Linked DNA regions of Oryzias latipes. The main gene of each other region encodes a partner of the protein of the gene in region 2 in a complex. Links are inferred from orthologs where the notes say so. Each region holds a gene or a part of one and is shown on either strand. Other genes may lie near its edges.

What was found.
Region 1: nhp2 (region 2) and dkc1 share a complex: the UniProt entries of both Homo sapiens proteins name them as parts of the H/ACA small nucleolar ribonucleoprotein (H/ACA snoRNP) complex. The link is inferred for Oryzias latipes from reciprocal best matches to the Homo sapiens genes NHP2 and DKC1.
Region 3: nhp2 (region 2) and wrap53 share a complex: the UniProt entries of both Homo sapiens proteins name them as parts of the telomerase holoenzyme complex. The link is inferred for Oryzias latipes from reciprocal best matches to the Homo sapiens genes NHP2 and WRAP53.

The regions. Positions count from the first base shown.
Region 1 is NC_019880.2:47,773-52,154, reverse strand, and holds the start of dkc1 (H/ACA ribonucleoprotein complex subunit 4), read left to right. Parts: upstream 1-1,545; 5' UTR 1,546-1,621; coding exon 1,622-1,637; intron 1,638-2,365; coding exon 2,366-2,418; intron 2,419-2,485; coding exon 2,486-2,572; intron 2,573-3,087; coding exon 3,088-3,179; intron 3,180-3,249; coding exon 3,250-3,434; intron 3,435-4,095; coding exon 4,096-4,160; intron 4,161-4,382.
Region 2 is NC_019872.2:3,233,419-3,237,615, forward strand, and holds the start of nhp2 (H/ACA ribonucleoprotein complex subunit 2), read right to left. Parts: upstream 2,918-4,197; 5' UTR 2,814-2,917; coding exon 2,660-2,813; intron 2,565-2,659; coding exon 2,495-2,564; intron 1,321-2,494; coding exon 1,215-1,320; intron 1-1,214. UniProt on the Homo sapiens protein: Required for ribosome biogenesis and telomere maintenance. Part of the H/ACA small nucleolar ribonucleoprotein (H/ACA snoRNP) complex, which catalyzes pseudouridylation of rRNA.
Region 3 is NC_019876.2:6,277,186-6,280,833, reverse strand, and holds part of wrap53 (telomerase Cajal body protein 1), read right to left. Parts: intron 1,124-3,648; coding exon 900-1,123; intron 1-899. UniProt on the Homo sapiens protein: RNA chaperone that plays a key role in telomere maintenance and RNA localization to Cajal bodies. Specifically recognizes and binds the Cajal body box (CAB box) present in both small Cajal body RNAs (scaRNAs) and telomerase RNA template component (TERC).

The DNA.
Region 1 (4,382 bases), on a different chromosome or scaffold from region 2:
TTCTGTTTGGTAGAAGGATTCCAGATGTTACATAATCTGAAGGAATGTTGTGATTTTACTGTGTTTTACTTTTGAACCTATACAGTGTCCTTGGGTGTTTTGAAAGGCCCTTTTAAATGTAATGTATTATTATTATTATTAAATGGAGCTTGGAAACTTCATTCTGGTCTCAGCAGTGTAGGAAAGAAATCTTTGCTTTTCAGTTCTTTCCATCCATGCATGTTCAGTAGTCGAGACGAGAGTGGTAAAGCAAACAAGGATTCAACCGGATTAAAAATACACGAAGTTTATTTCCCTGACAATAGTTCTAGAGCACAGATTAAACATTAATGCAGATATATCTGGATTCTCAAGTAAAGACCTACTGACGCACAAGTTACATGCGAATTACATGCGAATCGTAGATTTTCCTAAGAACAGTAAAGTCCGTCCAAAACAGTCTTTTAAACATGTGTTTGACACTCCTCCTTCTGAAAACATCATGACCACTGGATCTCCGCCCCGGAACACTCTGATTCGTCAGCCGGTATCCCTTGTGCTTCCACCGGCCAATAGCTGAAGGTTGCCAACTCCAGATCCGCTCGCCTTTCAAAGGGGCGACAGTGGCTCAGGTGGTTGAGCGGGTCGTCCAATGATCGAAGGGTTGGCGGTTCAATCCCCGCTCCCACCAGCCAAAATGTCGTTGTGTCCTTGGGCAAGACACTTCACCCTCCTTGCCTCCAGTGTGGCTCCACTGGTGTGTGGATGTGTATGAATGATCCCGGTGATGGTCAGAGGGGCCGTAGGCGCGAAATGGCAGCCACACCTCTGTCAGTCTGTGGCTGTGGCTACAACCGTAGCTACCATCACTAAGTATGAATGAGGAGTGAATGAATAATGGACACAATGTAAACGCTTTGGGTGTCTTGAAAAGCGCAGATAAATCTAATCCATTATTATTATTATTATTATTTCACCGGCGCACACAATCCAACGATCAAGAGTCCTCATCTGGTCCAAATAAATCCTACCAGCCAAACGGATACTCCATCACCGGCACGTGATCAGAGGTCAGCTTCATCCTCCACATGAGAACAGGAATCTGAACACTTTCCCTAGGATAAGATGTTCAACCCAGATAGTAGAAATGTAGTCCATGACATATTTATTCCATCTCTGGAAACTCCTAGATTTGCACAAAGAAGTCCTAGTTGCTGCTGCAACTACAAAGCACAAGTGAAGGTCACTGGAGAATAAGTCCTGATGAGTTCACTTCACACTAAAGATAAAGCTGTAACATAATGAAGAATAAGATATTAAAACATACATTTTCTACAGCAGTTTCCTTCAGAAACAGATCTTCATAAATGACATTCATTAAGTGTCTCTTTGGGTTGGAAGTTCGGGAAATAACCTTCTTATTTTATAAGTCTTATTCCTTTTCTGAGAGTTTGTCAGTGCCCGAGACTCTGGATGAATAAAGAGCCTAAACCCTGGTTAACTAGTTTTTCGGTAATCCCAATACATGAGAGGAAATCCAAAAGCTCTCTAGCCCCGCCCCGGATGTGGCTCGATCGTCTTCCGGTGCTCGTAGACCAAAGAATAAGAAGGCGGACGCTCGCACGCAGTCACTTGGAAGAAGATGGCGGAGGTTGAAGGTAAGGGCGACCCACGTGGTTCTGAAGTTTTGCCAGAATCAGAACCGCTACCCTTAATGCAAAATCAACACGCCCGCACGGCGTTACTGACGCAGTTCCCATCGCACGCGCGGCGCGTTCTGCAGAGCAGGCCGCGCACCAAAGCAGGCCGAACCGCGCCACGTGCGTCCTGCTCCGGGCGGCCTACACGATAAACCGGGTCAGATTCGGTTCGCTTTTGGAGGTCTGCTACTTCAGGGGTTGAGCGCTTCTTTGGATTCCCGCCCCGCGTGGTCCTTCCAGTCCACGTGACGTGCAGGAAACGCCACGTGCGTTGGGAATAAGTCGTTAGTTTTTAACAAACACCTGTTTGATTCAAATGTGCGCGCGCCACAATCAAAATGGGAAACACAATTAGGTTCTGACTAGTTTATTATATGACAGTTTTTGGGTCGAACGGATCAGAGCCGAACTGCAGTAAAACGTGGCTCCGTTTCATGTCTGCACCGGTTCTAACCGGTTTACGATCAGTGCAAACGTTTCCACCTGCGGGGTCTCCAAAACGGTCAAAGATTTTGTTGATGATTCGAGACAAAAATCTACGAATTCAAGATTTTTAAGGATCCATTGAGATGACTTTAGCAGTAAAGCAGCCCCAAAGCATGATGCTTCCACCCCCATGCTTCACAGTAGGTAAATGGTGTTCTTAGGACGCCACTCCACTAATCTGCTGTTCCGTGTTTCTGCAGTAGCATCTGTTAAAAAGAAGAAAGGGAAGAAAGTCTGCGATGAAGAAGTTGGGGTGAGTGATGTTGTCTGGAGTAAAGGTAATCTCATGGATCTGCTGGAGCTGACTGTTTGTTTTCCAGGAGATCCAGAGGAGTGCTGACTTTTTCATCCAGCCAGAGTCCAAGGCAACATCTTTAAACACATCACAATGGCCCCTCCTTCTCAAGGTCAGCTCCACCTCGACCCCTGCCTGGGTCATGTGACATGTTGGCAATGTTGGTGTGACATGATGAAGCAGTTTATCCATTCTCTGAGCACTGCAGTCTTGGCGTTTCTTTGCCCGTCTCCATCTTTGGGGCCTGGTCTCTGCTGGTCACCAACTGTGACCTGGCGTTCTGCCAGGTTATAGGAGGTGACCGTGTAGAGGTGGAAGCGACCAGACTGTTGTCAAGATGATGCTCTGCTCTGATCACACGCCGCCTTGAAACAGGAAATGTGTGAGCAAACAAAAAAATGGCTATGTGGTCCAGGCTTCACTATCCGGCAGTGATTCAGATGGCTACTTTTTGGAGAGTATGTTACGAAAAAGTAGTACCAGCATGGGGTCAAAGGGCATGAGAATATTTGGGCAACCTGGTACTGGGGTTGGTTTCTCCCTTAGACAAAAAGCTAATTCAGGATTTAACGCCAGGTGTTCGCTTCGGTTGGTACATCGACCTCAAACTGTTTCCTGTTTTGGCAGAACTTCGATAAGCTGAATGTGCGGACGGGCCACTACACTCCCCTGCCCAACGGCAGCAACCCCCTGAAGAGGAACATTGCAGATTACGTCAGGTACATTCACGTTGCGTAGGGTCAATGCTATGACGCAGATTGCATAATGACACTGCCTCCTCTACTTAAGGTCTGGCTTCATCAATTTGGACAAGCCAGCCAACCCATCATCCCATGAGGTGGTTGCGTGGATTCGTAGGATTCTGCGAGTGGAGAAAACTGGACACAGTGGGACGCTGGATCCCAAGGTCACTGGCTGCCTGATTGTGTGTATAGACCGTGCCACACGATTGGTCAAATCGCAGCAGAGTGCAGGTACGGGTCCTGAGGGTGTCTGGCTGGGTTTTGGGCTTCAGGTCTGATTGGCAGATTACAATCACTAAGACCTGAGAGGGGATGGGTCTGATCCAGAACTAGAGCTGAGGATCCAAAGGCTTTTCTACTCTTCATTCTCTTCAATGTCCCCCTCCACTTCATCCGTACTGATCTAAACCAGACCCCCACAAATCTGTTTCTATTTAGTTTTTGCTTTATCTAAAACTGTGAATTTTAGTCCAGACAATGAAGATGGAAAAGGACACTCTAGCTTTAATAAATGAAAAGACAAAAAACGGATACTGATGATCCGAAATCAAACCTTTTGCTGATGCTTTAGTAACGCATATGGAAGCACGGGGGTCATTTCAGCAGCAGGCCATCTCTGACCGCCCTGGTCCACGTCAGGACGTTTGCTGAATATTTTTGTGCGCGCACACCTGGCTGCTGCAGTCAGCTGGCCTGACGTCTGTCTTTGCAGACACCATGTGACCATGGGTCCGCTACAGAGTCAAAGTACAAGGATCTGCTTCTGTCACCGGGCGATCCTCAGTCTGCCAGCACTGTGTGATTGGCCCACTTCACCTAAGCACTGGTTCCTTTAGCTGCGAGCCATTTGGGAGCCGTTGATTGGTTGAAGCCTGACTGTTCTGTGTTGCAGGTAAAGAGTATGTGGGGATCGTCCGGTTGCACAATGCAGTGGAGAACCAGCACGCTCTGGCCCGGGTAAGTCTGACCTGATGATCCAGTAAGAGCTTGCCTTAAGCACACACGGCTGAGGCTTGAGGTTCTGGAAGGTCTTGCATTTAAACCCTCCAGAGTAAAATCCTATTTCAATTCTTTTTTTTTTTATTGCAAACAAAAAGAGAATTGTTACATACATGAAATACAATGAAACAAAGAAGTGGTTTCATTTTGTGCACGGAGCCTCTTTGTATTGAAAACTGA
Region 2 (4,197 bases):
ATCTATTGGAGAAGTAGATTAACTGCAGGTTATTTACAACATATTTGCTAGTTTTGTGGACTCTCTGGAAATAGTTCTCATTATAACTGAGGTTAGCTAAAACTAAAGACCTGATGGTGACATCACACCTTTATGAGGTGAACTGTACTGCCTCCTGCAGGAGAGTCGAGGGAACAGCACCTTCTCTTGTGTCAGTGGAAGATGACAAACTCCCACCCTAACCCCTAACTACTAAAACTATTTAGTGCCCTGGATTTTAAAGAAAATTCAGACACAATGCTCAGTGCTTAATATTTTAAATGGCGAATATGACATAATTGATTTCACAAAGTTAAAATCTAATTCATATGAGCGTTTTGTCACCATTATTTATGAGTCCACTGAGTTCTGAAGATAAAAACATTGATGGTTTAATTAAAAAAATACATTTAAATACATTTTCTTTTGGCAAAAATTGTTCTGATACTATGCATTGTGGTCTATATTCACCGACATAGTGAGCCTTGATGCACACTGGTATTTCACAGAGACTTCTGGTAAATTTCTAGGGCACTGGATTTTGTAATTGTAGATTCAGACAGCTCTACAAAAAGGTGGACGCATTATGCAGTGAGTAGTGAAGGAATTCTGACACACCCCAGCAGCAGCAAAGTTAGAAACAGCTGAGAATGTTAAGTACCTGTAACTTGCAATAGAGGCACTTTATATCCATTTTAAACAGTTTAGGCCATATTCTGTAAAATTGTGCTTTTTACATTCAAGCGCTTTGTTTTTGAGAACTCCACCCACCAAAGACATCTCCATACCAGAATGCTGCTACTGTAACCCAAATATACTTCACTGGATGTAAGGAATTTCTAGTTTAGTGTATAAATATATTGGAAGCTATTTATATTTATTTGATTTTTGGTTGTGAGTGGAGATCATCTCAGTATTTACTTCCAGAACTTTCTTTCACAGAATGTATGTCCACCTTTAATGTTCTGGTCTCGTTTGAAAAAATGTGTTTCTCTGAAGAAAGCAAATAAAATTTGAAATATTTCCTCACTTTTACACAACGTACCAGAGGTTTAGTTATAACTTTACTGCTGTCGGTGGTGGTTCACCTTTCAGCAGATCCCTTCATGGATCGCCTCTGCAAATCCACTTTCATTACTGCTATTTTTGAAGTCCTCAAAGAGAGGAACACCTGCATAGGTGCGCTGCTGACTCACCACTTTGGAGGGGATGTAGGCGTACGGCAGGCTCCTGTCCTCACACATGACCGGTAGGTGGCAGTACACCTCGATGGGCAGAGTGTCGCCAGCTAAAACCACGATCCTGTAGAGCAACGACCAATCAGAAAACCAGCTTGCAAGCAATGAAGTCACTTCTGGTCACGCCCCCTCAGACTAAACACAAAAGACTGAGTCACACGGGTGACTGCGCATGTGCGGGGTCAAAGGTCGAGACCTCAATGGACAGCAGACAAGGTGACCGCTAAGCCAAAACGCAGCCATTACGATACATAACCAAAGACAAAGTACAGGTCCATCGGCAGATGCAGTTTGCCGTTGGTGGGTCAGCTAATGAAAAAATAGCAACAAAAAAACCAAAGCAGCAAATACTAGTAAGAACAGACCGTTCAGTGACATGAGTGAGCAATATTGACATTTCTGTCAGCCATGTTTTAGTTGCTTCCTCACCAACCCAAGAGCCTTTTCAATCACAAGAGGATCGGGTTATTGTTTTCTGTCAATGCAGAGAAGTGGCATTCTGATCTGTCAAAGAAACAGAAGAATGTCGTACGCCTTTAGATAGTCCATATGGAATATTTAAGCCTTCTACTAGTATTATAGATCTGGAATGTTTGAGTACTGCATCATGTGGGCCTAATGTTGAACCAGACAACTGTTATCCAGTCCTCAAGTTGTATCATGTCCAATGCTTCGCATGCATACGTCCTTTTTATCATCGTCTGCTGTGGGGATGAGGCCTCTGCAGCACACCTGTGTCGCAGCACACCTGTGTCGCAGCACACCTGTGTCGCAGCACACCTGTGTCGCAGCACACCTGTGTCGCAGCACATCTGGTGCATCGTCGGGCGCCTTTAGTTCGTTAACTGACCGGGCAGATGGTCCTGTTATTTTAACTTTGAATATGTTTCATCATGGCTAGGGTTAGAGACCATCACCAAGTTTGTCGTCCAATGAGGCCTTGACCTTTGACCCCGCGCATGCGCAGTCATATTTGTGAACTGGCCAACATCACTGAGTCGCTTTGACTAAACCCCAACTAAAACAGAAAAGAACTTGGTTGAAAGGTTTTGCAAAGTTTCTCATCATTAAAGTTCTAAAGAACTGTAGCTCCAGACAATAAAATGAGAAATGAAGAGCAGCACAGAGACAAACGGAAATTATCTGGATTCTAGAGAAAAACAAAGGATCCTATGAGAAGCTTCATCCACCAACATGCTTCTCCTCCTCCTGAGCAGCTCCGGCTCGTTCTAACTCACCCTTTCTCTCCCTTGTTGATGAACTTCTGCACCTCCTTCACTCCTCTGCGGATGTTCTTCACTCTGGCAGCTGAAACCACAAAAATGCTCAATACTGTCCTGGTCCAACCCGGTCCCAGTCGGACCCGGACTGATCCACAACCTGGAAACGTCCCGCACTCGTACCTTTCTTCACGCACTTGTAGAGCTTCTTGCTGAGCTTCCTGGAAGCCAGCGGCTGCGCGATCGGGTTCAGGTTCGCGATCAGTTCGTGATAGGAGCGCTCCGGGACGCCGGCGGGCTCCTCCGCATCCAATTTCTCCTTCTTCACCTTCGTCATTTCCAATCGATGATTTTCTGAGCCGAACGTCTGCTAACAACAACTTAACACGAGGACACCTCACGTGCTCAGCTTCCTCTGCTTCTTTTTTCAGACTACGGCTTATCACAGCGCCGCTAGCGGCCGGGCGGTGAAATGCAGCGTGACGTTTCAAAGTTTACATTCCAAATGACTTTAATTTGCTTCTTTCTTTCAAAAATGAAATTGTGTTTAAGTTCTTGTGGTGTTTTTCTCATGATAGTGAAAATATAAAAAGAAAATTAAGATTAAATGTGTGTTTTTGTGTGTTTCTTCTGTTATTTCTTTATTCAAATTGCTGTGAATCAGGAGTAGATGACAAACTTACAGTGTAAAAAAGCTTGTCGTTACCATTGAGAGTAAAATAAGAACTAGACTGAAAAACACCCCCCCACCCCCTCCGTGTACCAAAAAAGGAAGTACCTGCTGGTCCTAAGAAGGCAAAACCCCATAGACTTCTATTAAGAAATAAACAGCTGTTACTCTGTCATTCTATTGGTCAGAATAACCATTCTGGATCTGATAACTTTTATTAAAATCTTATTGCTAATCCTGATTTTTCTCATGGTATTTTTCCTGTAGTGAAAGTTATCTAAGTTATAAACTGACAAATCAGATGCCTTAATAAAAGTAGCGTCAGAAGTTTGAAACGTTTGATTGACAGACCCTCCCTATCCGCTCTCAGTGGAAAGGGGTGTGGCCTTCTAACAGGCTCACTCCTGATTGGAGAGAGTGGTTGCAACAGAAATGTAGACAAGCCAATCACGGCTTACTGAGGTCATCTGCTTCTCACATGGTGAAGGACATATCGCAGAAAAATGGGGACTGAATTGACTTCAGTTGGTTGCAACCAGAAGCAAGGCATTTTCTATGGATGATATCACACGCCATTTATCCAGTTGTAAATTTAACAGTCAATTGTCAAACAAACTGAAATTGATGGGCCACACGCTATGGGGTCAAATTATATGAAACCCATCAAGACGACTGTTGTTGTGAATTTGGGCTATACAAATAAAATTGAATTGAATTGAAATTAGGATCAGGTAAAAAAAAAAATAACTCAAAAGTACACATTGAAAACGCCAAAAGAAATAATGAAAATTAAAAAAACTTGACCCCTAAGTTTAAACAAGAACTTCAAACCTTAAACTGATACCAAATGAAAAATAATATTTATTTGTTTTGCATTTTCAACGTTTGTTTCCTCTGTTTCTTTCCTCCTTAGCTTTCAGTTTTCACTGAGAGTGCCTAATTTTACTTGGGGGCGGGGCTTTAAGGTCATTGGCTGCGTTTACATGGACAAAAGTAATCGGAATGAACACCTGATCAGAAGAAAAATGCGTCATGTAAACACGCCGTTCGG
Region 3 (3,648 bases), on a different chromosome or scaffold from region 2:
TGATTGCTGTCAACCATCGGGATGGACGATGACATCGTCGGGGGGGGGGGCTGTTTTTTACATTTTTCGTTCTTGTATAACTGCTATTCGTTATTTTATTTTTTTTATTTTATTTCCCAACCAATGACTAATCTGTGATGATCCAGTTTAAACTGAAGGAAGTGACTTTAACAAAAAAAGTAACAAACAAAATAGAAAAGAAGTAGTCCGCTCCCGCACTTAACTAGTCAAGTGGACCGGCGGAGCGCGGATTTACAGCTTTGTGTTTGATGGGAAGGGAGGGGGGGGGGGTGCTCTGTTACATAGCGCTATGTGTGGGAGATTTAAGACTGCGATCCGTCCCGCAGCTCTAGGGGAACGAGCTACCGAACTCAGAACCGGGTCTAAAAGTGTGTGTCTGAGCACAGCTCGGATCGTCAGCACACACAGCGGCAGTGTGAGCTTCAAAGCAGAAATGTCGCTCAGTCCTTAGAAACCGTTCAAACAATCACGTGGATTTATGTTTCCAGTTGTGTCCCAACTAAATAAAGGCTGATGTTATTCCCACATGTTTACGTGTAGCGCCAACCAAAGCTAATGTTGTTAGCCCGTGTTAGCATACTGCTAATCCTGGCTTCTTTCCGGCTCCGTTCAGAAAAAGCATTGACCACACGGATTAAAATTCAAATGATAAGCGAACAGGTGTTTCATAATAACCATAACATTCTTAAAAGCAGGTTTAGAAGATCGTCTCGTATATTACCGAGCTGACATGTCAATGTATATAGCCGCTCAGCGCTGTTTAACATCGTTTTGTATTGAATTGTTGATGATATCGTCCATCGGCACAACCCTAGATGGCGTCTGACCGGGTGTCAAGAATGAACGTTTCGGTCCAGACGGAACCCCCCCCGACTCACCCATGGTGGGGCGCTCCTCGCAGTCTCGCCCAGGGCGTTCGGTGTGGAACACCCGCACAGTCTTCTCGAAGCCGCAGTACAGCCGCGTCCCGTCCGGACAGAAGCAGAGAGAGTGCGCCGCCGTCAGCTCGTCCAGGTGGTTGTAGGGCCGGAAAGTGGCGCGAACGTCGCCGTAGAAGGCGTCCCAGACATGGACCGGGTTGTCCCGGCTGCTGCTCGCCAGGCTGCGGGAGAGGGGGGGGGGGGGGGGGGGGGGGGGGGGAGAGAGCGGGAGGGAGGAGCTTAGACACCCGCAGACGGAAGAGGAAACAGAACAGCCGAAGATGGCGTTGGAGGCGGTTTCAGAGCGGCTGGTGTGAGCGCTCACCTGAACCCGTTTCTATGCTTCACTTTAGTGTGAAGGAATCAGAGCACCGACAGGAAGTGATGTCAGCGCTAAGCTGAATACAAAAGTAAAAGCCTATTTGACTGACACATTTCACCTCCACAAATCTCCAAACGTTTTTCCCGCCCAGCGTTCCCGTCAGGTCGTCTCGCTGGTCAATGACCATAAATGCTTCGACGCGTGTTTTTTCGCTAAGCTCACGTCGCCACCGGCAGTGAAAAGTCGACGTGGGTGCACGTTTAAAACGCCGTCAGTGTCTCTACCAGCGCGTCCACGTAGGAAACGTTTGGCCGCTGAACGTGCGTTGAAAGTTAAAGCAGGTTGACCAATCAGGGACTCGGATTTGGTGGCGATCTATAGATGGCGCCCCCTCGTAATTCAGGGAAGGGCCGACCGTTTGAAAATTCAGGAGAAATTGATAATTGCGGCTGGATTTATACGACGCCAAGTCTTTCGTATGTCAAAATAGAACGGAGAAAGAAAAAGCCTGGAGCCGGATTCACCGGCCTCTTCCAACCGTACTCTCTGCTAGCATGCGCTAGGAAAGAGCAGGAAAAGAAGAAGCCCCTCCCTGCTTGTCCAGTGTGAACCCCAACGCCATGTCAAGAATGTGCCGGTAGCCCTTTCATTGAAACGGTTTGTCCTCAACCTCCATCAATTTACACTTTCCCAGAATCCCCAACCGGCGAGCAGGAACTTATTAACCAGCTGAGGTTAACGACCAGTTATGACACGCGTCCTTGACATGTTTAGTCGTGCTGTGTTGACGAGAAAAACCGATTCAATTGAATGTAAGAAGACAATGCAAAGCTTTCTAAAAGGTCATACTTTAGCTTTTAGTGAAATGTAAACGTAATGAATCAAATGAACTAACGGCGTTAAGAAAAAATAAAAATACGTTTCTAAATGAGACGAATCGATAATCAAAAGTGGAAAATGGTATTTGCATTGAGACACAGTAGGTTTATTTTACTCTAACGTAGCGGACAAACGCATAAAAAAAAAGGATCAACCGTCGTTCCAGTCCAATGGATGGAAACACTTCAAAGTCATGTGACAAAACAGAATGTTCTATTAATGTTCCCTATGGATGTGGAAAAACCACAGTGGACTTTAGGAAACTAAAATGGGAATACATTTGATATTTATTCTTGTTTACTTGTTTGTTTGGACATATGTTTCATTTGCACTTGATTAAGTGAGGCTTAATGTCGGCCATTAACCTGTTTATACTGTGGTCACTTAGAATAGAAATAAATATTCAATCAGTTTTTAATACTTTATTCTAGGGCTGCACGATATGAGGAAAACTTGCGATATGCGATATTAGTGATCAATATTGCGATAACGATAAATTTGCGGTAAATAAACAAATAGAAAAATAAACAAAAACATCATTCCCATTTCATTGCAACAGTTTAAAAATTATACTCCAAATGACCCTCATCGACATGGGGGACAAACGTCAGGGTGGCTAACCCTGGTCCTCAAGAGCCTCAACCCTGTCTGTTTTCCAATTCTCCCTAGACTGCTCGATAATGATAACCAAAATCAGGTGTGTTCAGTCAATCAGGATGTGAAATCACTTGAGTCAGCCAATCAACAGCAAGCTGGTTAAGGAGAGCTGGAAAACAGGCAGGGTTGAGGCTCTTCAGGACCAGGGTTAACATAATAGGCCTCCATCTGATTGGTCAACAATGGGAAGGCGTCCATCTGATTGGTCAAAGCATAAAGGGATTTATTTTAAGCGTTAAATGCTTCAAGTTGCTAGAAGATTGTTTTAACACATTTTGGGTTTGCGATTTATTGCGATATTCGCCGTCTTTTGCCATATGCATATTGCAGAGCTGGATATTGCGATAACGATAAATTTGCGGTATATTGTGCAGGCCTAGTTTATTCTTACTTTTTTTCCTGTTTTGGACCGCTTTTTTCACAAAACGTGGACTATTTGTTGCGTGGCGCGTAGTCACGGCGCCATTCCGACCTCCGACCCTGACTGCAGGGGCAAAGGAAAGCGATAGATTTATGCTGATGATCACGATGTGTTAATAAATAAAGCATAGTTCAGAGGGAAAGTTCACCCGATCGCTTGTTTTGGTCCAGATAAAGTTTGCCTTGAAGAAGCCGGCGCAGTGATACAGAACATTTGAGCGGTGTGACCGGAACTTCTTTTTTAGGCGTGCGATTATCACTGTAAATGATGACTTTTTAATGCACACCCAGCAGCCAATCAGAAGAACTTGCAATATGGAATCTGGAAAACTTCCCCGGCACTGTTTAGGACCCCGGGAATTCTCTCCGAGTCTCACTGGTTGAAGATGTTCTGGATCCATTTTAGGTCAGATCCCGTCTGATTCTGTT